4 linked regions of the Notamacropus eugenii genome follow. The protein of the gene in region 1 purifies or fractionates together with the protein of each later gene. This does not show direct contact. Links are inferred from orthologs where the notes say so. Each region holds a gene or a part of one and is shown on either strand. Other genes may lie near its edges. The genes, in order: OTUB1, UBE2E3, FOXM1 and ubiquitin-conjugating enzyme E2 E1.

What was found.
Region 2: the proteins of OTUB1 (region 1) and UBE2E3 purify together in Homo sapiens (affinity purification with mass spectrometry; 3 studies listed by BioGRID and IntAct, counting the BioPlex papers as one, with this or other methods). This does not show direct contact. The link is inferred for Notamacropus eugenii from reciprocal best matches to the Homo sapiens genes OTUB1 and UBE2E3.
Region 3: the proteins of OTUB1 (region 1) and FOXM1 purify together in Homo sapiens (affinity purification with western blotting; 4 studies listed by BioGRID, with this or other methods). This does not show direct contact. The link is inferred for Notamacropus eugenii from reciprocal best matches to the Homo sapiens genes OTUB1 and FOXM1.
Region 4: the proteins of OTUB1 (region 1) and ubiquitin-conjugating enzyme E2 E1 purify together in Homo sapiens (affinity purification with mass spectrometry; 4 studies listed by BioGRID and IntAct, with this or other methods). This does not show direct contact. The link is inferred for Notamacropus eugenii from reciprocal best matches to the Homo sapiens genes OTUB1 and UBE2E1.

The regions. Positions count from the first base shown.
Region 1 is NC_092873.1:16,814,513-16,821,794, reverse strand, and holds the start of OTUB1 (ubiquitin thioesterase OTUB1), read right to left. Parts: upstream 3,004-7,282; 5' UTR 2,884-3,003; coding exon 2,826-2,883; intron 1,955-2,825; coding exon 1,893-1,954; intron 1,372-1,892; coding exon 1,273-1,371; intron 746-1,272; coding exon 627-745; intron 227-626; coding exon 142-226; intron 49-141; coding exon 1-48. UniProt on the Homo sapiens protein: Hydrolase that can specifically remove 'Lys-48'-linked conjugated ubiquitin from proteins and plays an important regulatory role at the level of protein turnover by preventing degradation.
Region 2 is NC_092876.1:244,823,811-244,831,242, forward strand, and holds the start of UBE2E3 (ubiquitin-conjugating enzyme E2 E3), read left to right. Parts: upstream 1-4,417; 5' UTR 4,418-4,811; intron 4,812-4,908; exon of another isoform or gene 4,909-5,095; intron 5,096-5,102; exon of another isoform or gene 5,103-5,469; intron 5,470-5,505; exon of another isoform or gene 5,506-5,997; intron 5,998-6,039; exon of another isoform or gene 6,040-6,152; intron 6,153-6,171; exon of another isoform or gene 6,172-6,537; intron 6,538-6,560; exon of another isoform or gene 6,561-6,798; intron 6,799-7,193; 5' UTR 7,194-7,218; coding exon 7,219-7,412; intron 7,413-7,432. UniProt on the Homo sapiens protein: Accepts ubiquitin from the E1 complex and catalyzes its covalent attachment to other proteins. In vitro catalyzes 'Lys-11'- and 'Lys-48'-, as well as 'Lys-63'-linked polyubiquitination.
Region 3 is NC_092874.1:202,997,867-203,005,085, reverse strand, and holds the start of FOXM1 (forkhead box protein M1), read right to left. Parts: upstream 3,003-7,219; 5' UTR 2,706-3,002; intron 1-2,705. Other genes in the region: RHNO1 (RAD9, HUS1, RAD1-interacting nuclear orphan protein 1), read left to right, coding at 3,642-3,809, 5,570-6,139. UniProt on the Homo sapiens protein: Transcription factor regulating the expression of cell cycle genes essential for DNA replication and mitosis. Plays a role in the control of cell proliferation. Also plays a role in DNA break repair, participating in the DNA damage checkpoint response.
Region 4 is NC_092874.1:30,659,745-30,667,059, reverse strand, and holds the start of ubiquitin-conjugating enzyme E2 E1, read left to right. Parts: upstream 1-4,314; 5' UTR 4,315-4,376; coding exon 4,377-4,531; intron 4,532-7,315. UniProt on the Homo sapiens protein: Accepts ubiquitin from the E1 complex and catalyzes its covalent attachment to other proteins. Catalyzes the covalent attachment of ISG15 to other proteins. Mediates the selective degradation of short-lived and abnormal proteins.

The sequences.
Region 1 (7,282 bases):
TTCAGCCACAGAGGTCTGCTTCTCCACTTGCTCTATCAGGTCCATGAACTGTCCAGAGGGAGGGAGAGGGCAGCTGTCAGTTACCCCGCCTGGCCCCGAGGCCTCCCCATCTGAGTTCACCAGTGTGAGGGTCCAGCTCACCGTGTTGTGGAAATCCTCAATTGTGAACTCGGTGAAGCCCTGAGACACCAGGTCCTCTTTGCTCTTGGCAGAGATGGCTTTGAACCTGCCGGAAAGAAGGCAAAGCCACTGAAAGGAGGAAGGGGAAAGAGGCGGCCAATGGGAGCCACCAATGAGACAGAGATGGCACGGGCTGCCCAGAAGGGTTGGGGGCTCCTCAAAGGGCAGATGGAAAGACGACTAGGATCTGAGGTGAAGACACCCCAGCTGGGACCCCTAAGTTTGACATCTCTGACTATGGCGCCCCAGACTAGTTGTAATTGAAGCCTGTTTCTTTAACTGCAAAGTGAGGAGGCTGTTTGTACTGCCTACTTGCCAGTGCTGTTGTCAAGGAAGTGCTCTGTAAGACTAAGACAGGACAGGATGGGACAGCCATGCTCACTGCGGAGGGCTCGGCCTGCAACGGGCTTCAGGAAAGGGGACCCTGCAGATGCCCTGGGGCATACCTCTGCAGTTCCTTGCTGTCTTCCAGAAGGGCCTCCAGGTGGGAGAACCCGAAGGCTCGGTAGAAGCAGTTGCCATCCGGCCTGGTCTTTCGGATGTAGGAGTATTTTTTGTGTAGGTCCTGTGGAGATAATGGAGAAGGCACTGAAGGCCAAGGTGAAGATGGGCAGCTTTCCCTTCTGTACACTGGCATGGCCTGCGGAGAACTTCGAGATGGGCGGGACAGAGAAGGATCAGTGGAGAAACGGGATGTTCTTTTAGCAAGGAATGGTGTTGGAGAAATGGAGGCAGAAACTGTTCTCACTAACAGCACTTGAATGTGGGGCTCCCTAACCACTCTGGCCTCGTGAGAAGAAAGGCCATGGCTACCCCCAATGATGTACCTGGGACAAGGTGGGCCAAGTCCCCAGAGGGCTGGGCTGAAAGGAGACTTCTGCACACACCAGGTGATAGCAGAAGTCAATTCCTGGCCTATAAAGTGATTCAATAACCAATTCTTCTCTAATTCCTACTAAGTACCTGTAGAACCCAACACTAAATACTACAAAGGGCCTTTCCCCGTCCACTTTCAGAAGCCCCGGCTCTCAGGTGGAATCAGAAGGTTCCCTCATCCCCCTACTGCGGGGAGGGGGGTCTAGGAGCCCCGACCTTGATCTTCTGTTGATAGATATTGTCATCTTCCGCATACTCCTTGTAAAGCACAGAGAGCTCCAGGCGCTCGGAGACCAGTGGATTCTGAACAGCAATCTGCAAGGAGGAGGGAAGGAAGGGACAGGAGCAGCAACTTGACAGGTCCAGGAAAATATCTGCGTCCACCCCAATCCCCAACTAGGAGCACAGGAGCCTGTGGACGCCTGGCAGGACCTTGGTCTGCTTTCAGAAAAGCCCTGGTTCTCCTGTATCCCTCGGCCAGTCTCAGAAGGCAGGGCCAGAGGAGCTGCTCCCCAAACCAAAGGCTGGACAAGTGATCCGGGGACCAAGGAGCCAAGCCCCAAAGAACAACAAGGGGGGCCTCGGGTTCAGAAATGCTTCCTTGTCATCCTCCAAGCCTGGGATTCTCCTGGAAAGATCAGTCCCTAGGCCCGCGCAGATCAGCAGCTGGCCAGCTCTCAAAGACGTGCTGGGGGGATCGCCCACACAACTCCAGACCCCCCAACTCCCAGGACAACGACCGGGGCAAGCGGCCGCCTCGCTAAGGCCCCGTCCTTCCCCGGGGGAGACCAGGCCAAGCCGGCCCTCGGGGCTCCCCGGGCCCCTCCTCCCCTCACCTCTTGCTGAATTCGGTCCTGCTGGGCCATGATGGCTTCATCGTAGGCCAAACAGTTAACTCCTGGGGGAAGGAAAGAGCAGATGGGAGGCCCGCCGGCCGCTGCTCTGCGCAGGCACCTGGGTCAGGCCCAGAAGCGGGTCTGGGCCCATCCCGGGCTCGAGGCCCAGCCCCGCCGCTGACTCGTCATCTCCGCCCCTCCGGGGGCAAGGGCCGCTCCAGGTGACGGCGGGGCTGGGCCTCAGGGAGCGCCCCCCACACAGGCCGGGGGAGGCGGTGCCCCAGAGCCCGAGCCGGCCGGACCCACCCAGAGGGATGGAGGGTGCGGGGGGCCGCGGGCGGCACCCCTGCGGAGAAGGGGAGCCGTGAGGTCATGGGATGGGGGAGGGGCCGGATGAAAGCGAGGGGTCGGGGAGATGAGGCGCGGGGGGAGGAAATCCAAGATTCTCTGAGCGTCCGCCTTGGGGGTGTGAGGGGGAGGGCCCAGGGGGCGGGGCGTGGAGAAGGAGGCCCCGCCCCCTGGCCCAGCGTCCCCGCCCTACGGGAGCCGGAGGGAGGCGCGCGCGGGCGTGGGCGCAGGTGCGCGCGAGGGGCGGTCGCGAGGCCGCGGCAGCCTCGGTCTGGCACTGGGCGCGCCCCCCTCCCCCTCGGCCGCGCCGTGCGCAGGCGCGCTCGCCCCTCAGGCGCGCTCACGTGCCTGCGCCCCGCTGCCGCCCCTCCCCCTCCGCCCCCGCCCGCGAGGCCGGGGGTGGGGGTGGGGGGGGTCTCAGGCGGCGGCTGCTTCCCCTGTACGTGGGGGGGAAGCGATGGAGCCCGCGCGCCTCGGCTCCGCTCTAGGGCCCCCGGCCGCAGCCCCCTCCGTAATGGCCGGGCCGCGCATCGCCCGCCCTCCCCGGGGGCTCCCGGCCCCCACCTCCGCCCCCGCGGCCGCTACCTTCCGAGTCGCTTCCCAGCGGCTCCGGCTTCTGCTGCTGAGGTTCCTCCGCCGCCATCTTTAAACAGCGCCGCACCCACGACCACTTCCGGGTTATTAGCGCCTCTCCTCCCGGAAGTGAACGTCCGCCCGCCTGCCCCGGACTCCGAGCTCCATAGCAACGCCCATAGCAACCAGAAGCCCCGCCCCACCCCGCCCTCCCTTGTGGGCCGCCCAGTCAGCGGGAAGCTAGGGATGAGGCGTCGGGAGATGGAGCCCAGAAGCTGCAGCGGGAAGGGACCCTGGACGTCCTCCAGCCCAGCACCGTGGGCTTGCGGATGAGGGAACTGAGGTCCGGAGGCCCGCCATTGTGGAGATGGGAGCACCGAGGCAGAGGGACGCCTGCAGCTCACCCAGGCCCTCCCCCTCGGACCCCTTGGTGCCTGCGGGAAGGAACCCTGCGGCCCAGGAGTCGCCAGCTAGCCCAGCTGCCGCAGAGAGTGCCCAGGGCCAGGGGCCAGAAGGGTCCGAGGCGCATGCACCCAGCACAAGAGGCGCCACGCAGAGTAGGCGCTTAAGTCTCAGGGCAGTGGAACTTGGTAAAAAGATGCCCAGCAGGCCTCCCCGGCTGCCCATTTTCACCCCAGGGCCACCTTGATGCCACCTTCTTATCCTAGGACCAAAGCCGGAGGCCTGGGAGAGGCCTCGGAGCTTGTCTCCTTGTTTTACAGATGAGCAAAATGAGATATTGGATGGGTAAGTGATTTGCCCAAGGAGACAAACTGGAAGCTCTGAATTCCACTCTTTTTCCTGTAAAGACTCCAAGGGAGGATGTCAGCATGCTACTTTAACAAAATGTAGAGCTGAAGGGACATCCGGCTTATAACTGAAGGGTGTCCCCATTATAACCTAGCCTCTGATGAGTCCTCCAGATTTCCAGTGAGGGGGAACTCCCTCCCTCCTGTACCCCACTGCAGTCTACCTCCAAGGCAGCCTGTGACACTCTGAACAGCTCTCATGATTAGGAAGCTTTTTTCCTAATATCAAGTCTAACCTGACCTCTTGGCAACATGCCCCAGATTCTGCCCTCTGGGTCCAACCCTGTTCCACCTGATAATTCTTCAAATACTTGAACAGAGGCACCATATTACCTAAGTCTTCTCTCCAGGCTCCAAATCTCCAGTTCCTTCCATTTATGCTCATGGGACACCATCCTTGCTACCCCTTTCCCTAGCTCATCTATCACCTTCTTAAGTTGTGGCTCCCAGGACTGAGCATCTTCCTCCTCCTGATGTTGTCTGGTCAGAGCTGGGCATGCAGTGACTTATGGCCTTCTCCCTGGAAACTGGAGCCTTTGACATGGCCACAAGGCTTTGGCTGCCATTTCCCACTGCTCACTTGTATTGACCTTTCACAACAAGTTTCTAGACCTTCAGACTGGTGGCGGTCTCACTGGGCGATGCTTTCATCACCTCAGACTCAGGCTGTTGGTTGTTGGACCTCAAGGGTAAGGCTTGACATTTATTCATCCTCCGTTTAAAATTATCCTGTTTCCAGTGCTCTGCCCCGTTAGGATCCAGAGTGTTAGGTGTCCCATCCATGTGTAGATGGTGCGCCATCTACACATCTCATAAACATTCCACCTATGCTTTCATCCAGGTCATTGCCCAGAATGTTTAGCAGCACAGGGCTAAGCCTAGAACTCTGAGGGTCCCCTGGAGGCCTTTTGCCATGTTCACCTTGTACCATGTTCAGACATGAGACAGTGGACCATAAAATCGAAGTGAAGAATTCAGGAGCCTAGAGGCTACGTCCATCACAGCTCCAGGCCCCAGGGCCAGAGACAAACCCATCCCACTAGTCGAGTCTATGGTTATTACTTCAGACCTCTCGATTCCTTTCCCCACTCCTACCACCTAAAACGTTTCTCCCATATTCCATAGCTGAAAGGGACTTTAGCCATAATCTACCTTACACTCCCATTTTACAAATGGGAAACTGAGCTCCTGGGAACCTCTCAAACATAGAATGTTGGAGCTGGGACTGATACCAGAAGCCTCCCTTCCCCCAGCCTGGTTAGAGGTTAAAGGGAATCTCCTCTTCTCCTTTAGCATCTCAGACAGTGCTGGTGGCATGTCTGGGAATCAAAGCCTAATGACTACTTCAGTTAGGAAACTTTAACGCTTCAGGAATTCTCACTGGCTGAAAAGTAACCCCCCATGTTGGTGAAACCCCAAGTCCAGGTGAAGATCCCTGCTTTGGCCTGGCTGTGGCTCAGGGCAGACAGATGTCTGGGTCACCTGAAAGGCTCGTAGAATGTAATCTGGTGAGGTGGTGACCTGCATTGTAAATCCAGATGAGACCCTCCTTTGGAGTGAGCCAGGGGCCTGAGATACTGCTTCCCCCTGCCTCCAGCTAGGCACATGCACTGCTGCCCCCTCCTCCTCCTTCAGACATCCACTGAGCATCCCCAGGGCTGTGTCAGTGGGTGTGGTACCCAGGCAGAGCAGCAAGACTGTCTGGGCCTCACACACAGCCAGTTTCTCCTTTCTGTGGGTCCCACTGCCAGACTGTATTCTTACAGGGACCCCATGCTCTGCTTGGCCATTTTTAGTCTACATTTAATGGACAAACTCCAGGCCAGACCCCGGTTTGGCAGCAGTGCCAGGCCAGAAGCATGGGTAGCCCAGCTTGTGCTCAGGACAGCCAGGGCAGGCTCTGCCCTCACACAGGGTCCTTCTGGGCATCTCTGAGATCCTTTCAGCCCTGCTGCTGCAAGAGCTGGCTGGCAGGCAGAGCTTGAAGCAATGGCCCAAGATGGCCACAAAGGCAAAGGGGCTAGGGGAGGGCGTGATGGGGACATGCCTTGACTCTTCCCCAGGTCAGACATATAATGTGGGCCAGAGGAGGCAGCCAGTCCTCCTGGGAGGGGGACCACAGCTCTCCTACAAGGGAAGGGGCTGCTGGACAGGGTGATGGGGAGCCTCGATTGCCACCAGGCAGGCCCTGGAGTCTTACCAGTCAGGTGTTCCCAAACCTTTGGAAGTATTTCCGATTATCTACAGGCTCAGAGTCACGGACCAAGTGAACCAGGGCAGCTCTGATGTCAGAGGAGACTCAGCAGTGTCTCTACTTCAAGCCTTCTAGTTAAGTCAGAGTACTGGAGCACTCAGCAACCCATAAGGGGCAAAAATACCCCACTCCCAATTCAAAGAGCCACGTTCCAGGGGCAGCCTGCAAGTTTTGCCAGGACTCTCACAAGATCAAGGAGCAATAGGTCTTCATTTACTCCTGTGAGGAATTAGTGAGGAGCCTCTCATCCCTCAAGCTTGCCCTGGGAAAGCTGAGATGGGGGCGCAACCCTGTGATTTCAATCCAAGTCAGCTTCCCCTGGGATGAGGGGATACAAAGCCTGAAAATGCCAGGTCATGGCCCCCGATTCTCCCTTCTACCCCCACGCACACACCTGCTGCCACATGCACTGCCCACAGGACTGAGGAACCACCCCCCTCACTTCCAGTTGCCAGCTTCCATCCCCAACACAGTCTGAAGCAATTCTGAAGGCCGTGGCTGCTGCCCACCTCAAGCTCAATGCCAGATGCCCCAAGCAACACAATTTCCCCCTTACCACCCCATGCCAATGAGAAGCGACCTCCCCCTACCCCTAGCAGGCTATAGTGAGCAGCACGGAAGACCAGCCTTGGGAGGGTGGCAGTTACCAGGGAAACCCGCAAGGTCAGCCTCTGCTTGGCACATCCTTGCTCAGCATCAGGAGCATGGCTATGAGACCAACACCAGGGCTCAGATTCCCCCCTCCCCATATGATCTTCTGGGAAGACAGGTGAGAGCCAGTGCTCTGCAAGAGGAAGGTGGCACCATCCCAAAAGGATACCACCCATCCTCCCCCAGCTCTCGACTGAGAGCCCAGATCTGCAGGCTAGGCCCTGCTGTAGGGAAGGGAGGGCAAGTGCTTGCTCCTGATCTGCCCAGGAAGGGTGCCTGATAAAGCCCCAGGATGATTTCCCAGTGACTCTCAGACTCCTGTGCCCCAAAGCTCAGGGTGGAATGCCCCCCTCCTGCTCACAAAGGCAGCATCTGTGAAAAAGGAAAGCCAGTCATGGGTCAGAAGGAGAAGGCCCCGTCTTGGAGGAAGCCCAGGGAAATGGGGTGGAGCCACTGGGGTGATGGGGGAAAGCCCAGAAATAGTCAAACAAGGGGTTCAACCTTAGCTACCACCACCACTTCTAAAAAAAAGGATCCTCCTGAAGTGAGAGAAAGCAGTGAAATAAGGTTATTCCCTACTGGCCTCCATCTTTTTCTCCCTCTTTATATCCATTCCACCTGTCTGCTCTGCCCTGACCAAACCTCCCAGCCTGTAGTATGACAAGGTAGACAGCCCCCCAACATCCAAGCACCAGCTCAGTCCCTGGGAGAGGCCACAGGGCAGGAGCCCCCGGCCAACACAGCTCTCGGTGGAA
Region 2 (7,432 bases), on another chromosome or scaffold:
AGTTATACAGTTACAGTTACTGGCAGAACCAAAAGTTGAACTCAGTTCTTCTGAATTTAAGGTTATACCTTGCAGGCCCAGGGCTATCACTTAAATGCAGGTTAGATTTATTTTTCTGTATACATTTACCCACAATGAAGCTCATTTGCCATTTTTCACTAGCTTGCATAGGCTGATGACCTCTTTACTTTATCCTAGTTCACCAGGGATTTTACTACCTAGAAGGGCTAATATAATTTGTACTTTGAAATTTTACTGTATATGCCCTCTTCTAGAATACTTTCAAAAAGGTTAAAAAAGACTCTTCCTCGTGGAGATCCCTGAAGTACCCATTTTTAACACTTGTCTGTCCAAGAAAGACCTATTTATTTTTAACCTTTGCTTTCAATCAGCTAGTTTTTCAGCCATAATAAAATTCTCCAATCCATCTTGTGGTAATTCAGTTTCTTTCTTTTTCTTTAATGGCTTCGGGTCTGCAATCTTTTCCACAAGACTGAATACCAATCAAATTAATTCAAAACTCTGGATGCACATGTATTATTTCTTATTGGGTAACCTTAATTTAGACAAACGTGAAGGAATACAGAAGAAAAAGTTAATGTCCAAAACGTATATGCGCAAAGACTATTTGGTTGGTAAAAATCTCACTTTTCCTGTGTCCTCTTGAAAAGCTGTAGGAGCCATCCTCTGGAAAATGTCTTTTTGTTATCCATTTTTTTCTGAGCCTCAAACAGAGGACTACTTGGGAGGGCGAGAAACTGAATAAGAATGCCACTAATGTTTGCCTTTTTGATCTGGAAATGCAGATCTTTACTATTCAAACAAATGTATCTAGGCTACACATTTGAATCTACCAGTACTCAATTAAGTTAGAGGAGGGTAGGGAATGGAGGGAGGGTGGATGAGACAGAGAGAGAGATCCAAAACAATGTGGCTCAAGCCACATTGTCCATTTTCAAGTGGAAAAAGACAAATCTTATGTGTACTGGGGTTGGTATCTTTATCTGGGAACAGTTAGTACTTTCAACTTGTTTTATATTATCTCTCCCTTCATTGAAAGCCAGTTTAGAGAATTAGTTTCAGAATTGGAAAGGACTAATTCAACCTATACCTGAAAAAAAGATCCTCACTATAATACACCTGATAATCCAAAGCAGCCCATTCCACTTTTGTATAGCTCTGATTGATTTTTTTCCCCTTCCATCAAGATTAAATTGACCTCCTTGCAATTTCCAACTATTGTTCTAGATTCTCTCTCTGGAGCTAAAGAGAAGTCTAGTCCCCTTTCTATATGACATCTCTTCAAACACTTGAAGCCAGCAGTCATGTTTCTTCACCAATCCCACTTCAAGTCCAAATATTCTCTTTTCCAGGCTGAACATCCCCAGTTCCTTCAACTGTTCTTCATACGGCATTAATTTTAGGTTCTTTAACCATTCTGATTTATATCAGGAAAACCCATAAACAATAGCACAGATGAGGAGAGCAGGGTATGATTTTAGGAAATGTTGAATAATCTGGAGGGGAAATATGTGAAGCACTAATGTGAGACAAACTTGGAGGGGTAGGTTAGAGTCAGATTGTGGAAGACTTTAAATGCCAAGAATAGACTGTATTCAGTTGGCAGTGCCATGATCAGAACTGTGTAATAGAATGTTTAATGTGGAACAATACCTCCAACAACTTCAATAACACTGTTTAGTAGCATCACTGATGTTAAAAAAAAAAGAGACTTTTTAATTTTGTATCAAAATCCTCCAAGACGGAAGTCATCCCAGGACCAGGAGGGAACTAGAGACAGTATCCACTTCATCCACTCTTTTTCAAAACTGTCTGAAAAAGGAGAGGTGTTGTTCTTCCAGAAAATATCCTTAAGTTCCCTATTGTGGGGGAAAACTGAAATGAGCTGCTCACCACTTCAGATAAAAATGAGCGAAAATGATTTTAAAAAAACCCTGAAGCAACCCCCTTCTTACCCCCTGCAAAAAAAAAAAAAATATGTCTTCCTAGTGAACCAGTTCAGTTCTATTGATGGATAAAATTTCTCTTTTCCCATTTTATTGGTAAAGCCTTGATAGCATAGAGAAGTATGGGTATAGGTAAATGGATACCTATATCACAATATTTCGGAGCTGGCCAGGATTTTAATTAATAAGTCCAATGTTCTTATTGTGCAAACAAGAAAATAGAGGCCCAGAGAAATGAAGGGCCTTGTCCAACGTCACACAGTTCTAACTCTGCTACTAACTAGAATTCAGGTAACTTAATTTCTAGTCTAGTACTATCTGCAAAGCATCATGTTGCTCCCAAAAACTAAACAGGAAGGAAGGAAAGAAGGAAGGAAGGAAAGAAGGAAGGAAGGAAGGAAAGAAGGAAATAAGAAGGGAGGAAAGAAGGAAGGAAAGGAAGGGAAGAAGTAAGAAAGAAGGGAGGGAGGATGGAAAGAAAGGGAAAAGAGAAAGAAAGAAGAAAAATAAAGAGCAAGCAGGGAGTTAAAGGAATACTGAGAGAGCTTGGGGGGCACTTGAAAAGAAAGAAAACAGCTGAAATCAACAAAAGGAATCAATCAACAAACATTTATTGAGCACTATCCTAATCCTTTTTTGGGATATCAAGTCTGAGGTCCTTGTTTTCCAGGAGTTAACAGGCTGGTTGGAGATATAAGGTAGAGATATTTGAAATGTTTAAACAGAGGGGGGAAATGAAAAGAAAGTAAGAAAAATATTTTTAAAATCATCAAAAGGAACTACATGACTAATTTCTGGATGAATAGGATAAGGATTAAGTGCGCTAGGAGTTCAGAAGAGGACATCATGGATCTAAGTTTTTAAAAAAGATGTGATTTTGACTGGATCTTGAAGAATAAGTGAAATCTGAAAAAGTGTTCACATTTCAGGCTGGAGGAATGATAGGAGAAACAAAAAGTAAATCAACAGATATTCACTTATCAAGTGCTGATTACATGGGAAGCCCTCTTTAGGTTAGGGATAGGGACTGGATATGTGAATTCATTTATAAAGGGAACTACAAAAAAAAATTAAAGTCCCTACCCTCAAGGAGCTTACATTTTAACAAAAGAGGAGAAAGTTCAAGACAACTTATTTTGCGTACATAACACAGACAAGAGCTGGAAGTGACTTTAGATGCCAGTCGATTTTACAGACCAAGAAGCTGAGACTGAAAAAGATGATTTACTTGTCATTTACCTTTAGTTAGTGTCAGATGAAGCAAAGACTAGAATTTGGGTCACCTAACTTAATGGTTTACTGTTCTTTTCACTTAATCATTAGCTAGAACTTTGGGTCCAAATCTGTAAAATGAGGGAGGTGATAATCACAGTACCACCTTATAGTGAATTGTATATCCCTTTAAAATGTATAAAGTGTTTTCATATTTTCACATTGGTAAACTAATTTAATTAAGGTAAACAGAATAGGAATTACTGATTTAAAACCCATATATATTTAAATAAATTCACAGATGGAGGCAGAAAACTAAGACTCACAAGTTTAGTGACTTGCCTAAGGTCACAGAGCTAGTATAGTAAATGGCAAAATTGAGTCCAAGTCTTAATGGCTCCAAATGATGTCCTTTCCAGACCTCTAAGCCTCTTTGTGCTATAAAATTTTGTCGCTATGAATTTATCTTTTCTCCTCAAAACCAAGTTCTTTACTTGCCTGCTCTATTTCTATCTCCCAGGTACAAAACCTGAATCATCTTACATTCTTCTCTTTCCCTTATCCTCCTCTATAACCAGTCACCAAATCCTCCTGAGTCTTTCTTCACAACTTTCTACATCTTTCCATTGACTATTACCATCTAACTCCAGGGCTTTAACAATTCACAGCCAGACAACCCCCAAGTGGTCTCCTTGCTAGTGGTGTTTCTGCCTTTCTCTCTCCCGTTCATCTTGCTTAAATAAAGCGCACTTTATCAACCCACTCCCCTGCACAAAAACCTTCCATGGCTCCCCACTGCTGCCAGAACAAAGTCCAAACTCCTAGCAAGGGTCAAAGTCCATTTTCCCAGAAATACCTTTTTTCTCCAACTTGCGTCCTTCAGTAAATACACGAATGTTATTTACTGATCAGATCTACTTGGGGAAACCTCTCACAAAAACCTTTCTATTTGGGGAGAAAAAAATCAGCCCAGTATGGGGGCACATTTCCCTTTTTGATGTACTTTCCGTTGAACTTCCCACACTGTCAGGACTCGGATCTCTTTTTCTCTTTTGCCAACATCTGTGTAAGTGGAATCCACAAATCCCTCTCGGGCTCCATCCCTAGAACCAGGGCTGCTCAGTAGCAGGGGCAGGTCTGGGCTGTAAACAGGAAGTTTTTGTATTTCTGGCCACCTTGTGATTGGGCCTGGGGCCGCCTGCCAGGAGACCAAAAAGGAACGGTTAATCCGAAGTACTGGGAGGGTGGGGGAGAGAGAAGGAATCTTGAGTTTGGGGCTCAGCCTGACTCGCGCTGCCAGCGAGGTGCATGTGTCCAGGGCCGGGGTCCTGCCTGCATGCCAGCCTCGCGCTGCACAAAGTGCTGCGGTCGCGCCCCTTTCCAGCGCGAGCGGGACATTTAAAATTTGTTATTCCCCCTTTTAAGTTTCCAGGGCCTCCGGAACCCCATCCCGTGGGGGAGCGCTGTTAAGGGCAAGGGCGGAGAAGGCGCCGGGGTCACCAAGCCCCCTGAGATCCTTCCCTGCCCCCGGTGCCCAGGACCGTCCTTCCCAAGCCCCCAGTCCCCTCCGTCCCTGCCCACTCGGACTGCAGGGAAGGGAAGATGGCTCTTCCCCGGTCCCTGGACTCCTCGGTAAATATCAATCCATCTTCCCGGGCAGGAGGGAGGCGGCGAGGTGGCCTTCGACAGCAACTACAGGTCTGGGGTGGCAGGGCCGAGATCCTGGGCCCTGAGGATCCACCCTCCCCCCACACCCAACCCTTTAGTATCCAGAGCCACCGCCGCCTCCTCCCGCACTGGGGGAAGGGTGCCAGGCGGGGGAGGAGAGCCTTTGGGGGTGACCCTCCCTGCTGGCGCTGCCGAGGTGCACCAGACGGCGAGCTCCCTCCTCCTCCTCCCCCGTGCAGAACCGACGGGTGGGTAGCCCAGTGGGTAGCTCAGGGAAGGGCGGTGGGGCAGGGAGAGTGGAGCGGTGCAGGCCGGAAACCACCCTGCTGCAAAATCGGCCCTCTGGCCCCTCGGGCGGGTGCCCCCGCCCTCCCCGGGGCTGGCTGGCTGGCCGGCCCGGCGCATTCCTCCGGGCCAGTCCGCCCCTGTCCCCGGCGGGCGGCGCACTCTTTGTCCTTGGCCGGCCCAGGCGGGCAGACGCGTGCGCCCCCCGGGTGAAGGGAAGCGCGGGGGGGGCGGGAGAGCGAGCGAGCGAGAAAGCGAGAGAGGGAGAGAGAGAGAGCGAGCGAGCGAACGACGGGAGGGAGCCAGCCCGGGCTGCCGGCGCGCGCCCCACAGCCAGGCAAGCGAGCACGCGCGCCGCCTCCTCCTCCCCCCTCCCCTCCCCCTCCCCTTCCCTCCCAGCTCGCAGGGAACTTGCTGACTGCACCGATCGGGAGGCGAGCGGGGACAGGGGAGGCCGTAGAACTCTCGGATCTCCCCCGTTCCATCTGGGCTCCCGGGGAGCTCGCGCCCTCACACAGCAGCGGCGCCTCCTCCTCCTCCTCCTCCTCCTCCTCCTCCTCTTCCCCGTTCCGTCCCCCACCCCACCCCCACCCCACCCCCGTTTTCTTTTCTCTCCCTCTTTTTTTTTTTTTTTTTTTTTGCAAAGGCGCTGGGCGGCGCCACCCTCCGGCCAGAGCGCCGCACTACACAACCCCCTACGACTTTCAATGTTCCACACTCCCCGGCCAGAGCCTCCTCTGCTTCTTTTTTTTCCTCCCCCCCCCTTCCCCCCTCCCGGCTGCTTCCATTTCCTTAAGGAAGGGTTTTTTTTCTCTCCCTCCCCCACATCTCAGCTGCGTGTAAGCGGGGCAGAACGGCGGTGAAGGTAAAGCTGGAAGGGTTTTTTTGGGGGGGGCGGTGAGGGGTGGGGGGGGCGGCTTGCAGCGGCGGCGGCGGCGGCGGCAGGAGCAGCAGCAGCAGCCGCGGCAGCCGCAGCAGCAGCAGCAGCAGGAGCCGCCGCCGCCGCCGGGGCGAGCTGGGGTTGGTTGGTGGGGGGGGAGGGGGAGGGGGGCCGAGGGAGCTTTGTTCTTGTTTTCGGCGCTCGCCCTGCCGGTCTCCGGGAGCCCGAGGAGCCAGGACTGACTTCACGCATCACTTGGTGCACACACCACGCTGATATTGGAGCGCTGCCTCCTACCATAACAAACCCTCTCCCCGTCCCTCCCCACAAAGGGGGCTGCAAAGCTGCATTGCCGCCGCCGCCGCCGCTGCAATTTCCTATCGAAAGCTTTTCTTTTTCTCTCTTTTGCAAATTCTGTTCGGAGTTCTTTTGGGGGCGGGGGGGCTTTTTTTTTTTTTGGCCAAAATGTCGGTCTGTAATATCAAAACCGAGCCAGGAACGGTGGCGTTGGGAGCTTTGCAGAAGGTGCAGTTTGAATTTTGCTTTTCGCTGTGGAGCAGCCCTGTGGTGGCCAAATGAATCTTTGCTGCTGGCCGTGCCAACCAAGGAGGCTGCTTTTTAGCCTCCCCCCCTTTTTTCCTTGGGGAAGGGGGGGAGGTACAGCGCTTAAAGGCTTAAGTGCCAAGAGAAAGGGGTTGTTGCCACGTTTAGGAAGCATAGGGGTGATTAGCAGGACGTGTTTTTCCTTCAGAGAGGGAATTTGGTAGCTCTGACCCACGTAAATGTGTAAATATTTAGACGTTATTAGTAACTTTGTAACATTTTTCAGCGAGGTCTGTTATTTACAATGTGTCAGATGTTATTAATGTTCATTGCTTAAGTTCCCTGGCAGATCTGTTTCGTGCCTTCTGAGAAAGTAGACAATTGATAGATTGTCCAAGGGACGAAAAAAATTCTGAGTGGGTTTTCCAAGTTGAGTTCTGTAAATCTTTAAATATTGGCATTCTGGTACATACATCACCTCCCTCTGTAACCTTGCAGTAACAATGAGATAAGTGTATAGACACTTTAAAAGGCTTATCATTTAAAAGACAGATTTTAGGAAATATTTTGCAGAAAGGAATGATGTGGAATTTGTTCTTCAGGTTTAACGCCCTTTTTTCTTTTCTTTTTTTTAAAAGTTTTCAGAGAAATAACTTGACCAAGATGTCCAGTGATAGGCAAAGGTCAGATGATGAAAGTCCAAGTACCAGCAGTGGCAGTTCAGATGCAGATCAGAGGGACCCAGCAGCACCAGAACCTGAGGAACAAGAAGAAAGAAAACCATCTGCCACCCAGCAGAAAAAGAACACCAAACTCTCTAGCAAAACCACTGCTAAGTTATCTACTAGTGCTAAAAGGTAATACCTATGAGAGGTGA
Region 3 (7,219 bases), on another chromosome or scaffold:
GCCTTGCTGCTTCTGGTGGGCATTTTCTTGATATAATAATCCCAGGGAATAGAAAATTCAAATGAAAGTTGTTACAATAAGCTTTCAGTCTCAAGAGAGTATTAAAGAAAGGAAAAAATGTAGATTTTTATTTATTGTAGCCTGGCACTGTGGGAAAATGATGGATTTGAAGTCAAGACAGCTTGGATTTGAATTCTGTTTCTGCTATTCTTTAATTATATGACCTTAGGAAAATCATAACCTCAGAGAATCTCAGACAGTTGAAAGGCACCCCAGAGGCCATCTAATCCAACCCATACCTCATCCAATAACATATTGGACAAGAGGTCATCCAACCTTTACTTGTAGATTTCCACTGAGGAAGAACCACTACCTTGTAAGGCTTGTCAGGAAGTGTTTACTTTTATAGTCTAAAATTGCCTCCTTGAAATTTCTGTCAATTAATTATTATTAGTTCTGTGTTCAGAAGCAAACTCTGAAGTCTAATTTCTCTTCTACCTGACAGACCTTCAAGTACTATTGATGGGGTGGTGGGACCTGGACCCCCAAAAGCCCTAAGACATCACGCCTAAGCAACTCTGAATCCCAGACCCTCACCCCCATAAGAAAATTCTCCCCTTGTTACAGAACACATGTCCTTAGATAAAGGACAAACACAGGGGTGCCTGCCCCAAGGATTTTTGTGCCTTGCTGGCCCAAGGACTCTCCCTCAAACCAGATTGCCAAGGTCCAAGTCTCTGGCAGCTAAACTATCTTTCTTCCTCAATGTCTGATATCAGCAAAGTTGTCTCTGCTGACTCCTTGACTTTTCCCATTCATAAATCATTGACGGCTGCTCCCAGACACCTGGACTCCTTGAATTACTTAATAAATAAGCATTCTTAACATTCCTTTACCTGCCCCTTTTCTATATAAGCTTTAGATTCAACCCCATTAAGTTGCAAGTTCCCCAAAGGAACTTCACCTGCTACTATTGGAGTTACAATAAAACTTTTGCCTCTTGACTAATAGAAAACTTGAGTGTGAATTCATTGCAGGCAACTCTGACTTGGCATTCTCAGGGTAGCAGCACCTCAAACCTCTTCACTATCATGTGCCCCTAAGTTTTCTCTTCTCTCAACTAAATATATCCAGTTCTTCACTTGTCCTTATGTCGCATCGCTTCAACATTTCGATTCTCTTCACCATTCTGGCTCATAGTTCCACCTCATTGGGGTGGATACTAAATATAGCTCCTAGAACTAACCATGATGTTTTCTGATCAGAACCTCTGAGCCTCAGGCTATATTCATCTGTAAAATGATAAAGCTAATCTCTAAGGTTCCTTTCAGCTCTCAATCTATGAACCCATAGCAACGCTAGTATTACAGAGTTGTATGCTTTCATTTTTTAAAGTATCTGATACCAACTACTTCATTTAATTTGTAGAACATCTCTGCAGGGTACCTATTAGCTGCATTTTAAATGAGGAAAATTAAGTATAGAGAAATGACTTGTCCAATTTCTACAAGTTAATGGCAGTCAGGACTAGAATTCAGGTTTCTGATGCTATGGTAGCTGTGTAAAGCTGGAGGAAGGAAACAAATCTTTGGCTTGGGACCTTCAAATACTTATTTGAGAAGACATCCCTCAAATGTACATCATTCTGTTAGAAAGTGTCATCCTGGGAATCAGAGGAATTCTTTTTCCTAGGTCCCTGCTATACAATTTGGGGAATCACAATTCCTAACCATGTCATAGGTATTTGGTAAGATGACCTGGGCCTCCCTTGAGCTCTTCCTACCTCTTAATTCTTGGGTCTAAGTTCTCACCTCTTTAAGTTCCTGCAATTTTATCTTGTCTCCATCTCTCTTAAGTTTGACCCTTTACTGCCATCCCCTCCCCCCAAAACCTTCAAATCCTGCTTCCTTTTTTTCAGTATATCCTTTCCCAAAAGCAAGTCTTCCTGCTCTCTCCCACTCCTAACACTAGCTCAGTTATGTATTTGACTGCACCTACACGGCCCAGGGTTAAAACATTAAAGGGGATACATAACAGAGGAAACACAATTTAGCTCTCACCTTCAAGGAATGTCAAATTTAATAATGCACATTTACCAGTAATGATAATACAGGGTCTAAGGTGCATAATAAACATTAAACAAAACGCTGAGTGGTTTCACCATCCAAGGTCCTTTGCAAAAAGCCTTTCACTACCCCACACTGAACAGAGGAGGGCACGACACCGCCAGCAAGGGGGGTCGAGAGATTCCTGGGGTTACAGATTGGGTCCCTGGGCCCAACCTGCTGCTGAATTCCGCAGGAGGCTGGGGCTGCACCGGCATTATGCGGCCGGGCCGTGATCCGGCCCGCAGTGGAGGGGGCCCCGGTGGCCCGTCCCGAGGTGCTGTCAGGTCCGGCCGCACCGTCTGCAGCCGCGGCACCTCGAGGACTCCCTCCTGCGGGTCACTCACTCCCTGATCAAGACTCCGAGGTCGGGGCCCGGCGGTCGCTGCGGAGCTGGGATCCAAGCTCCGGCCCGCGACCCTCTCTCCGGGGCTCCCCGCGTCGGCCCAGGAGCTGGGCATTGGAGGGGGCCCATTTTAAGGAGGACGGCTGCGGAGACCTGCTCCTTTCCCGGTCCGGGGCTCCCACCCCGCCCGGGCTCTCTAGGGCCCTCCCGGGGAGGGAGGCAGGCTGGGGACCCCCGCCACCCGAGACTCTCACCTCAGCACTGCGGCCGCTGTCTCCACCACCGCCCCAAGGTAGGCCTGCAGGGGTCGGGTTTCCCTTCAGCCTCAGCCCGCCGGGGCTGAGCCAGGGTCCAGGAGCAGGCCCAGGGCCGCTAGGGGCCGGGTCGGCCAGGTCCCCGGCCGCGGGGGGGAGGGGTGGGGTCGCCGGGAGGGGGGGAGGGGGAGGAGGGGGATAAGGGGCTTTCAGTTTGTTCCGCGGTTTGAAATTGGCGCCGGCGGAGCGTTGCCGGTCACGTGACGCGGGCGCCGCCAATCGGGACCGAGCGTCGTTTAAGCATTCGGGGCCGGAACTCTGCCCGGCCTGTCAAGGGGCCGGGGCCTGGGGGCAGAGGGGCCGGAGCCTCCCGAGTGAGGGAGGGGGAGGACGAGGGAAGGGGCCGGATACAGCTGAGCCGGGCAGCTGAGAGTGGGTCGGGCGGACTTCCGGGGCTGGCTGAGGGGGCAGGGACGCGGGGAGGCGGCGCCAGGAGTCCGCTCCCCCGGAACCCCCTTTCTCATGCTCGAGCTTTTGTTCCAGGTGCTTTCTTCCTTGGAGGACTTGCACTCACCCAGTGTAAGTGACCCCACTGCCTCCCACCCCCACCCCTTCTCAGAGCAGCACCTCCCTTTTCCTGCAGCGCTGAGCCTGGTACATAGTAGGCGCCTAATCTATGCTGTTGCCTTGAGTCCCTCCTGCATTTTCAGGTTGGTGGTTCTGGGACGTAAATAGCAGCCTCCCTTTCCCGCTGAGAGCGATGATTAGTCTGGCCCAGCGTGGTGGGCTTTGCTGCCCCGGGCAGTGATCGGTTTTCTCTGTCTGCTTGTTTTGTTGTCTGATCTCTAGGCATGGGTGAGGATCCTTGCTCATCTCCCCGACGTATTTCCCCAGGCAACATGAGGCTACTCACGGTCCTTCCCTCCTCGACTGTTGATGCCTCCCAGGAAGAAACCCAAAAGTCAGTCCCGGAAACCACAACTGGCATTCCGAGAGGGGCCTCTGGAGGGTCCCATGCATCCCTATGGATCCCCACAGCCAGCCGCAGCCCTCCCAAGGCATGCTCGGGTCAAACCAGTAGATCACCAGACCATCACCTCTTGGGTAGGACCAGCGAGTTCTTACACTGGGTGCTTTGGGTACGAGGTGACTCATATTGTGGGTACTGTCTTTGACCCACATCAGGAGGAAGGTCACTCACCCACTTAGTGGTACACAGGAGCAAGAGGCCCTAATTCCTAAACCATAACTCCTCAACCAACTGCTCTTCCCCTAAGTTGTAAAAATGGGCAGTTGCTGAGAGAAGAGCTAGATAACTGGGGGCTGATCAGGAAATAGCCAATCAGAGGGAGAATTGTTGACATTTAGACTGGCTTTACTTTGCCCTGCTATTCTTTTTAAAGAGCAGTGACTACAGTGGGGAATTTTGGGACATTGTGTTCATTTTCTTGCTGGAAGGTCTCATCCTTCCCTCCCTACCGTTCATTCATCCCCCTCCCCCCCCCCCCAAAAGACTAAAGAGTAGTCTGAAGATTCAGTAATAATGTGCTTTTGCTTTGGTGTTCCCTTGTTACTGTTGACCTTTAGTGGCTGGCCTGATAAATCAAGACCTTACCTACACCAATTAGCCAATAATACCTTCAGGAACACTTGAACCCACCTTTTTCCTTTTCTCTCTCCCAACCACTGATTCAGTCAATCAGCAGGCATTTGTTAATAGCTTTTATTAAGTGACAGGCACAGGGGATACAAATACAATTAATTGAACAATTCCTATTTGAGAAGTTGTTTATATTCCAAAAGATAAGACAATATGTACATACATATATGTGTTCATATCTTTCTAAACATACATATGCATTCACATGTATGGATATGTAGAATACAAAGTAGTTAAAGACTAGTAGTTTAGTAGGGAGGGCATTAGCATTAGTAGGGGGATTTGTACATGTACAAGGTGGTGCTTGGGCTGTGTCTTAAAAGAAGAGAGATTCTAAGAGAACAGATATGAAGAGGAATTACATTCAAGGCATGGGGGCAGCCATGGAAAAGCATAGAGATAGGAGATTGTCTTGTGTGAGGAACAGAGGAAAGGTCAGTTTTGACTGGACTGTGGGAGGGGGAGTGTTCACTGAGGCTGGAAAGATAGTTTGGGTTCAGGTTGTGAATGGCTTTAAAAGGTAAAGTTAATATTTTATCTTAGGGGCCATAGGGACTTGCTAGATAGAGTTTACTGAGTAGGAGAGTGACAAGGACAGAAACAAGATTCTGAGCATTCTTAAAAATGCAGGGTCTGATGATAAAAGTAGCGGCATGATATAGAGAAGAGAAATGTATTTTTCTTTGGTCCCAGATACTGTATGTTCTTCTTTAGATACATTGTTTACTATCTAATAGCCTGCTATAAAGTAACACCACACACTGGAAAGTTTTAACATTCTGAAGACTCCAGCTGAAAGAGTTTTGGATTATGTTGTGAGAAAGAAGTAGAAGTTAAGAGCAGGGGCCAATTTTGGACTTCAGCTTCTGCTTAAAGAGTGCTTTAAAAAATGACTTGTTAGAAGTTGTTGGAAAAGCAATAATCCATACTCCAGGAATAGGGTAGATACCTAATAAAAATAACTCACAAAGTTTTATATAGTGTTTTTCTCATAAAAATCCTATAACTTCATAGCAGGTTTCAAACCCAAAGCTCCTGATTCCAAGTCTGGTGCTCATGCCTGTAGAAAATGAGCTCATTTTAATGTGGATAGGCTCTCATTTTAGAAAACTTGAGCATTATATCTGTGGCTTCTTGAATGGAGATGAAGTAATTTCCAGCAATGTTTGTGGTTCTGGGCTGACAGCTTCTGTTTGTTTCTTAGGTGTCTCCTCAATTTGAGAAAACAGGAGACTGGTTGCCAGTCTACCAAAAACAACATCAGGTGCCTTACAATCTTCAGAACCTGGCAAAAGTTTCTCGAAAAGCAACCAAGAAGAGGTTTCCACCTCTGTCCTTTGAGAGTTCAGTGTCTTCTTCCAGTGAAGCTGCTTTGGACAATCTCTCAGTTATGGACTTCCCTATACAGTGTCCAAAAGACACTGCCAGAAAGTCCTTGGTTCCTCTATTGAGTCCTCAAAGCTGTGCGGAATTGTCCTCTCATGACCTTCAAAATTCAGGTTACATGGTTATCCCACCTGATATCCAGACCCCAGAACAGTCCCCTGTGAAGGACAGTGGGCATATTCCCACAGACCAGAGGCAGCATATGAGAAAGAGCTGCCCTCTCCTAATGGATCCTCCCAAGAGCCCAGACCCTGGCCCTGTACTGGTTGCAGACACACCAGAGGAGAAATATGGGCTGAAGGTAACTTGGAGAAGACGGTATCAACTTCTTACTTACCTCAGGGAGAAGGGGAAATTGAGCATGAGCCAGTTTCTTGTGAAGACATGAGTGGAACCTTGAAATACTGATTCCTTTTTACCAATAACTTGGATCCAGAAGGGCAGAAATTTACATTGCCCCATGGATGGTTTTTATAGTGCTGCTAAATCCAATTTCTGGCCCTTGAAGAGATTAAATCAATAGACTCAAGTGTCATTTAGAACCTTTGTGGTCCTTCCTGTTGATTTAATAGGGAACCAAAAGCACCAGAATGATTATGTGAACTAAAGCTGAAGTTCCATAATCTGTTTTTTGGTATTGCTAGTTACTGGCATAGTATACACAGACCATTCTTTTTATATTTTTCCTCCTGATATTTATCCAGTTTAAAGGTAATTCATAGCAGATAGAAGGGAAATGGTTATACAATATTTCTAACAAATTGTAAATATGCACTTAAGGGTGGGAAGATAACTTTTAGAAAATATTAAAAATGTTTACAAATAAATGCAGAAAACTGTTAGTGAATGCTGCCTCTTTTGTTTGTAGTAGGCCAGTATTTCATACTTAACCAAATGCCTCCACTCATTAGGTGGCATAAGTGCCTGAAGAAAGGAAAGCCCCTAGCTGGTCAGGAGAGGGCAAGTTTGGGGTTCTTCTGATAGACTGAAGAGCTCAAGGTAGTCTAGGGCAGGTCTAAGACTGAGCAAAGAAAATTCTATAAATGACCAGAGGAAGAGCAGGTTTAGGGCGGATGGAAGGGAAGGGAATAAGCATTTATGAAATGCCTAATATATGTGCCAAGTGCTAAGCAGTAGGACTTAATCGTGTTCCAGTTTTCCAGGGTAGCGAGATTTCAAGAAAGTGTTATTTCTTCTTGTGCAAAGAAAGCTTTGCACAAGGAATATCCTTTGTCAGACAACTACTCTCATTTTGAAAGAGGAGAAGACAGGGGATATGGGTTTAATTTACAAACATTCTCTCATTTGAACCTCAAAACAACTCTTGGAGGTAAGTGTGCTATTATTCCTGTGTTACAGTTGGAGACACTGAGGTGAACAGGTTAGGTGACTTGCCCAGGGTCTCAGAGCTGTCACAAGCGTCTGAAGGCACGTTTGAACTCTGAGCTTCTAGATCCTAGACGGGCTA
Region 4 (7,315 bases), on another chromosome or scaffold:
GGAGGAAGAAAGGTGGGAAAAGATCCTTTGGAGGACAGGTAGGTGGGAAGGAAGTGGCTTCCTATTTCAATGAGAATAGTTCTTGGTCAATAGGTGCTAAATTGGGGAGTGGGGGGGGGCACTTTGCTAAAGTGCTACAAGCACTATCATTGTCCTGTAAATTTCAAGGCCTTGGGACAAGTTCCTGTCCCTCATCCTAGGGTCAGCTCTGGATGAAGGCTAGCTAGGCAGGGATGGGGGTCTCTATAGTGCTGGAAGGGGAAGGGGTAGTTATAAAGTATGTCTTTTATTCTTTCTACCTGAGATAATAGCTTACTTCAAATAATACACCTTACAAATGAATTGTAATTTGAGAAGATTCTTTTGCCAGATCTCTTGAATTTTGGGTTTCCTCAATAATTTCATCTTTATTGAATTCAATATGCCATCCTGAAACCACAATAATCAACCAAGGTTAGTTTTATGAGAAGGAATACATAGAGAAAAGGCAGAAATCTTTGAAATGTGGGGAATAGAGAATTCAGCAAGCATTTATTAATCACCAACTGCGTGCCAGGTGCTAGAGATACAAAGACAAACATGAGATGGCTCCATCCTCAAGGAGTTTACATTCTACTGAGATGTTATATGTACACAGATAAATTAAAAATGTGACATCCATACTACATAAATAACTACATAGATACATACAAAATAGTTTGGGGAGGTTTTTTAAGAATTGTAAAATCATGATAGGCCTCTCCTATCTAGATATGGCAGCACTGGATATGAGCCTTGAGGGCAGCTAGGGAATCAGAGAGGCAGAAGTGAGGAGAGAGAGCTTTTCAGGGATGGAGGATAGAGGTGTGGGAAGCCAGGGTAAGGCTTAGGACTAGATCCAATGCAACGGCTAACTAAGCAGGCCAGTTTACCTAGAACACATCAGATAATGAGCCCACAGAGATCGCTGGATTCAGAAAGGGAGGGGTTTTCAAGGCCAAATAGAGGGGTCTGCATTTTATCCCAGGGGCAATAGGAAGCCTTTGAAGCCCTGTAATGGAACGAATAGGTTAGATCTGTGTTTTAGGATTATCAGTTCCACAGCTGTGGGAAGGATTAGAGAGGGAAGGATGGGTTCAGGGAGACTAATTAAGAGACCCTGGAGGTTATCTAGGAGCCGGGGGCTGTGATGGGAATAGAAGGAAAGGGACGGATGGCCCTGGACAACTGGCAGTACAACTGAGGAGATGGGGATTGGAAGAGAACCTGGATGAAGAGATAAAGGGTTGTACATTCAATAGCACACAGGGAATATAAGAGAAGGGAAGGGACTGGGGGGAAAGACGAGTTTTGTTTTGAATCTGTTGATTATGAAATATGCCTATGGCACAACCAGATGAAGATATCCAGCAAACAGTTGGAGATGCTGGATTGGAACTCAGGAGAGGAATGACCGCAGGATATGTATATATGAGATTCATCTGGATGGGATGGGAGTGTAGAGGAAAGAGGAGAGGACACAGGGCACAGCCCTGGGGGTACATTTAGGCATGGGTGGATGCTGGGGAAGCATAGATGATGCTGCAGAGGAGACCTGAGTAGGATGACCAAAAAGGTAGGAAGAAAACCACAAAACCCAGGGAAGAAAGCGTTTTCTGAAGGAGGGAGACATCAACCCTTGACAAATCCTTTCTGAGAAGTCAAAAATGGTAAGGATGAAGAAAGATCATTCACTGAGTTTAGCAGTAGCTCATGGATGACCTTGCAAAGGCCATTGCAATCCAATGGCTCAGACCACCAGGAGCTGAAGTGAATCATAGGTGAGAAAGAGGAAGCAAAAGGCACGGAGGGCCTTGTCAGAGGGAGCCTCTGGACCCCAGAGGAGGAGGAGACTTCAAACTGTAGAGAGACCTTAGGCACTGTCTCTTTGCTCTGTAGGTCAGGGTAACTCAGAAACCAACAGTGGAACATGCTTTATTGTCATGGCAAGCACACCCACACAGAGGGATCAGTACTTTCCTTGACAGAGGGATTCCTGCATGAGAAAGTCTCTCCACCAAAGCAGGCCAGCATCTTCTCTGAAACTTAATAGTCTTAGAGAGCTGCCAGGAATAGTGGTATCCAACTCACATAGAAACAGGGGGCCCCTAAAGCACACCTAAGAATCCCTGTGCTTCTCAGAGGGACTTAGAAAACCACATGTTAATATTATCTGTTTTACTGTATTTGTATTTCGTCAAATATTTTCCAATTATGTTTGAATCTGGTTTGGCAACAGAGAGAAACGTGGGCCTCTGGCCTAGCACACTTTGAGGTCAAGCGCCTTGGCCTCTGCCTGTGAGAGGCAGCATTTGAACGCAGGTCCACCGGGCCTGGTCTCTACTCACTGTTCCTAAAGTGGGTTTTGTCGTTTTTCTTCTTTTTTTAAACAACAAAGCACTTTATTTTGTCACGTTCAAGTCTTTATTTTTCTTCTTCCAGGGAATGTTATTTTCTTCAGGCTCTCCAAGGGCTGTTTCAGAGAACTTCCCCGAAGCTGCATCATCAGGGACTGTCAGGATGCACTGGCTTACATCCCTGTCCTGGGTTAGGCAGCGCCTGGAGGTGGGAGACTGAACTGGACTGACCTCCCCGAGGTCCAAGTCAGCCGGAGGGGATCTCGGGCGAGTTTCCTGGTGAGGGCTGAGCAAGGCTGGGGTTGTTTGGAAAGGGGGGGGCAGGGTGGGGGGCTGGTCACCCCACTGGACTGGGGCTGGCGCCTTCGGGAGGGACCCCCACAGATGGCTGGTGTTCAGAGATGCCCCGGGATGGCTTAACTGCCGTTTGTGGAAGCACCCAAGGGGCCCCGGAGCGGACCGGACCAGAGGGAGGGTCGGGGCCGCTGTTTGGGTAAACGGCCCTCGGGGCTGGGCCGTGCCCGGCGCGGGGCTCGCTCCCCCGGCCTTTCGGGCGCCCCCTCGTACCGGCCCCCCGGCCCGCTGTGACCCCGGAGCGCCGGGCGCTGCGGCCCCCTCTGCCCCCCGCCCCCCCCGGGCGCTGCGGCCCCCTCTGCCCCCGGCCCCTCCAGCGCTGCGGCCCCCTCTGCCCCCCCGAAGCTGCGGCCCCCCTCTGCCCCCCGCCCCCCCGGGCGCTGCGGCCCCCCTCCCGCCCCCGGCCCCCCCGGGCGCTGCGGCCCCCCTCCCGCCCCCAGCCCCCCCGGGCGCTGCGGCCCCCTCTGCCCCCGGCCCCTCCAGCGCTGAGGCCCCTCGAAGCTGCGGCCCCCTCTGCCCCCCGCCCCCCCGGGCGCTGCGGCCCCCTCTGCCCCCCGCCCCCCCAGCGCTACGGGCCCCCCCGCCCCCCCAGGCGCTGCGGCCCCCACCCGCCCCCGCCCCCCCAGACGCTGCGGCCCCCCTCCGCCCCCACCCCCCGGCGCGGCGGCCCCCACCCGCCCCCGCCCCCGCCCCCCCAGGCGCTGCGGCCCCCCTCTGCCCCCCCGAAGCTGCGGCCCCCCTCCGCCCCCACCCCCCAGGCGCTGCGGCCCCCTGTCCCCCCGGAGCGCCCGGCGCTGCTGCTCCCGGCCGCGGGGCCCCCGTCGGGGAGGCGCTCCCACGTGCGCCGCGGCCGCCCCCGTCGGGCGGGGGGGCTCGCCCGGAGGAGGGCCGTGCGGGGCCGCGCGCGCGTGAGTGTGAGTGTGCGCGAGTGTGGCCGAGGGAAGCCATTGCCTGTTTAATAGTTGCTGTTGCAGCACTTCCGCTTCGGTGCCAGCGAGCGAGCGAGAGACACGAGTGGCCAGGCCCAGCCGCCGCCGCCGCAGCCCCGGCGGCCCGAGCAGCGGCAGCAGCGGCGGGAGCAGCGGGCGGAGCGGCGGGCGGAGCGGCGGCGGCGGGCGGAGGAGGAGCGGCGGCCGACACAAAGAGCGAGCGAGCGAGCCGGGGAGCGAGCGAGGTACGGGCCCGGCCCGGGAGCCCCCCGCGGCCCGGCCCGGGAGCCCCTCCCCGCGCCGCGGCCCGGCCCGGCCCCCGGCCTCGGGGTGGCCCCGGGGGCGGGGGCGCAGTTTGCGGGGTTCCACCGGGGGGTTTCGAGCCCGGTCCCGAGCCGGCCCGGCTGCTCCTTCCCCCTCCCCCACCCGGGGCGCTCCGGCCGCCCCCCCCCCGGCCCCATGAGCGCCGTTTCCGTAGCGGGGACCCCCTCCCCTTCTCCTCCATCCTGCTCGTCCCCTGCCGGGCCAGCCCTTTAAAGCCCCCTCTCCCCGGGCCTAGCGAGGGAGCGGCGTGCGGCCCGGGCCCCCCCAGGCAAACGAGCCGGGGGGGCCGGCTGAGCCCCTCCCCGCCCCCCGGGCGCCCCTCGGCTACTCACCGGATGGTCTGTGTTTTCTGTCTCCCGCAGGGATTGTGGGGGGTGGGGGTGGGGGGTTCGCTATGTCGGATGACGATTCGAGAGCCAGCACCAGTTCCTCCTCATCCTCATCTTCCAACCAACAGACTGAGAAGGAGAGCGCGGCCGCCCCCAGGAAGAAGGAGAGCAAGGTCAGCATGAGCAAGAACTCCAAGCTCCTCTCCACCAGCGCCAAGAGGTGGGTGCCCCCGCGGCCCCCCCTGCCCGCGGCCCCCCGCCCGCACCCCCCCCCCCCGGCCCGCAGCCGCGGCCAGCCCCCCGCCCCGCCCCCCGCCCGCCCCGCCGGCCTGCTGGCCTGCCGTCAGGCTCCCCGGTACCTGCCCCGGCCCCCCCCCAGCGCCCTCCGCCGGGGCCTCCGGACAGACGTCCCCAGGACAGACGTCCCCCCGACAGACGTTCTCAGGACAGACGTCCCCAGGACAGACGTCCCCCCGACAGACGTTCTCAGGACAGACGTCCTCAGGACAGACGTCCCCCGGACAGACCTCCCCCCGACAGACGTCCCCCCGACAGACGTCCCCCCGACAGACGTCCGGCCAGCCTCGTGGCCGCCCGCAGCGCCGTGGGCTTCCTGCCTTCTCACCTGTTGCGTGGCAGGGTAGGTGCCCACATCCTGCGTGACGAGGCACTGGCACTAGCCAGAGGGGCACAGACTTGAGAAAGGACGGGAGAAGGTACTCGCTCTTGGAATTCCAAAGGGGGCTTTGCCGCGTTGTCCAGAACCTTCCCCCCCTTTTGTTTTGTGCAGAACTCTCAGCTCTTTGCCTTTCGGGGAAAGCCTTTCAACTTTTTCCTTGGCCATCCTGTCCTTCCTGCTCCAAAGCCTTAAAACAGTTTCTTTCCTTCGGTGGTTTACCTTGAGTGAAAATCCCTTCCTCTCCATATAGTTCTTACATTGTCCCCCTCTTAGCATGGCCCTGTCTCCCATCGTTCATTAATAGGATCTTTTAATTCTCCTTTTCCGATCAGCGGGAGCCCTCAGAGAACACTCTGGGAAATATTTCTAATCCAAGTCAGTTGTAAAGGGGTGGACTCTGATGTAGGCAGTTATTAGACATTGAACTGACCACAGGGAGGACAGGAGGGAGATGTGTCCTGGTTGGACTAGGGTGAGTCCTTTAGAGAAAATTAAATATAAGATGGGCTGTTTGATCTTTGATTTCTCTAGGAAAGAGGTGATTTGTTTGAGAATTCATTATTGTGGTGTTCTTCACTGGCTGGAATCTGGGATAATTGGGATCTAGGAAGCTATGGTCACCCCAACAGTAGGTGGTGGAGACAGATAAAAAGAAGGCCAGCAGTCCTCAGCTGGCTTGATCCTTTGGGCAGTGACAAAACTTCTCTGAGCCTGTTTCCTGGGCACTAAAATGGGGATAATATCTGCCCTTTTTCCCACAAGGGGTGATTGTGAGGATCCAGAGAGTTAGTACATGTGAAAATATAGGCAGTATGAGCACTTGGTGGTGGCCATGTACACCTGAGCAAGTTTGCCTTTTGCCAGGTGCTTCTGAATCCTAATCCCCAGGGCTCTCCTTTTGGTCTGGTCTGGTTAGGAGCAGGGCCCAAGGTGGAGTGGGATGTGGGGAGCACATAGGATTGATTGCCCTGAACCTGTGAGATGGATTTTCAAGGGATGCCATGGGGTCACTTGCATTTTTTTTGACTAAGGCAGAAGTGGACCTTCAGGAATGGGGAGGGCTGTGTCTCTGCATATTTGCTTCCTCATTTTGTACTTGGGTAAGCATCCCTACTATACAAGGATAAATAGTGGGCTGAGGCAAGTGTGACAGATGCTGGCAGGGCTGCATTTAGGGTCAGTGAATTTCAGAGCAGATAGGCTGTGGTTGTTTTCTTAGGAGACAGAATTGGTTCCTTTGAGGGAAGAAAGTTGAGCAAGCTCCTTTACTTGGGAATGATAGGAAAATGAGGTGACTTGAGAAGGGGGAAAGGAAGTGGTCCAGCAACGTGTCTGGCATTTTTTGGAGGGGGGAGTCCTGGATTTGTGATTTCTTTGGTCCGTGGAGTTCCTGCCAAGGGCATTCAGAGAAATGGTAACTCTTTGGCAGTCTAAAGTGTAAGAGGGTTGCTCCAGGATGTTGGGGGGTTCAAATGGCTCACCCATACTCACATAGCCAGGATGTATCAGAAACTGGACAGGAACCCGTGTTTTCCTAACTCAGGAAGCATTTCAGAGACATTTCAGAAAGGTGGAGTTTTCTCCTTAGGGATGGGAGAGAGAGAGAGCCTTGGTGAGCAGAGCAAAGACTGATAACCACATGTTGTTGGACAGTGGTTTTTTCCTGAAAGCCCAGATCGCAAGTGGTCGTAGATAAGAGTTTGATGCCCAAATAGATGTGTGTGAAAGCAGCTTTGGCAAACACTTTGCCGAGTAGGAGGTGGGTGATGTGAATGTATGTCTCAGAGATGCAGAGGATAAACAGTTGACTGCTTTTTATTCTTAAAAGCAACAACTGTCTAGTCTGTGATGTTAGCTAAAATTGGGCTGGCAGGGGAAAAGCTAATAAGGATTTCCAAGTGTGTTGAACTAGAGAGAAAGGCATTTCTGTATATAGACAGAAAATATTACATTGAGTGTAAATAGAGGGGAATCCAAAAATCTTGGTTCCTTGCTTACTTGCTCAGTACATTCAGAGCTTTTCAGTCCAGTATTACGGCCAGAGATATAACACAGCTGATGGTGGCAGGAATTTTGAGAAAAAACAGATGTCAGAAATTGAGAAGATATGTTTAAAGATCATTACATTTTTTGAGGATGGTGGAAGTGACCTCAGGCAATTGAAATTGGGGGTTCAAATAATTTCCAAATTCTGTCCTCAAGTTTTCACTTTATTTCTTCATAAATAACCCCAGGGTGGTAATGGTATGGTGGTGGGAGAGTCAGGATGGGACAGGTCCAAAAGTCTTTCCTAGAAAGAGAAAGTGAAGTATGTAACCTTTAGTC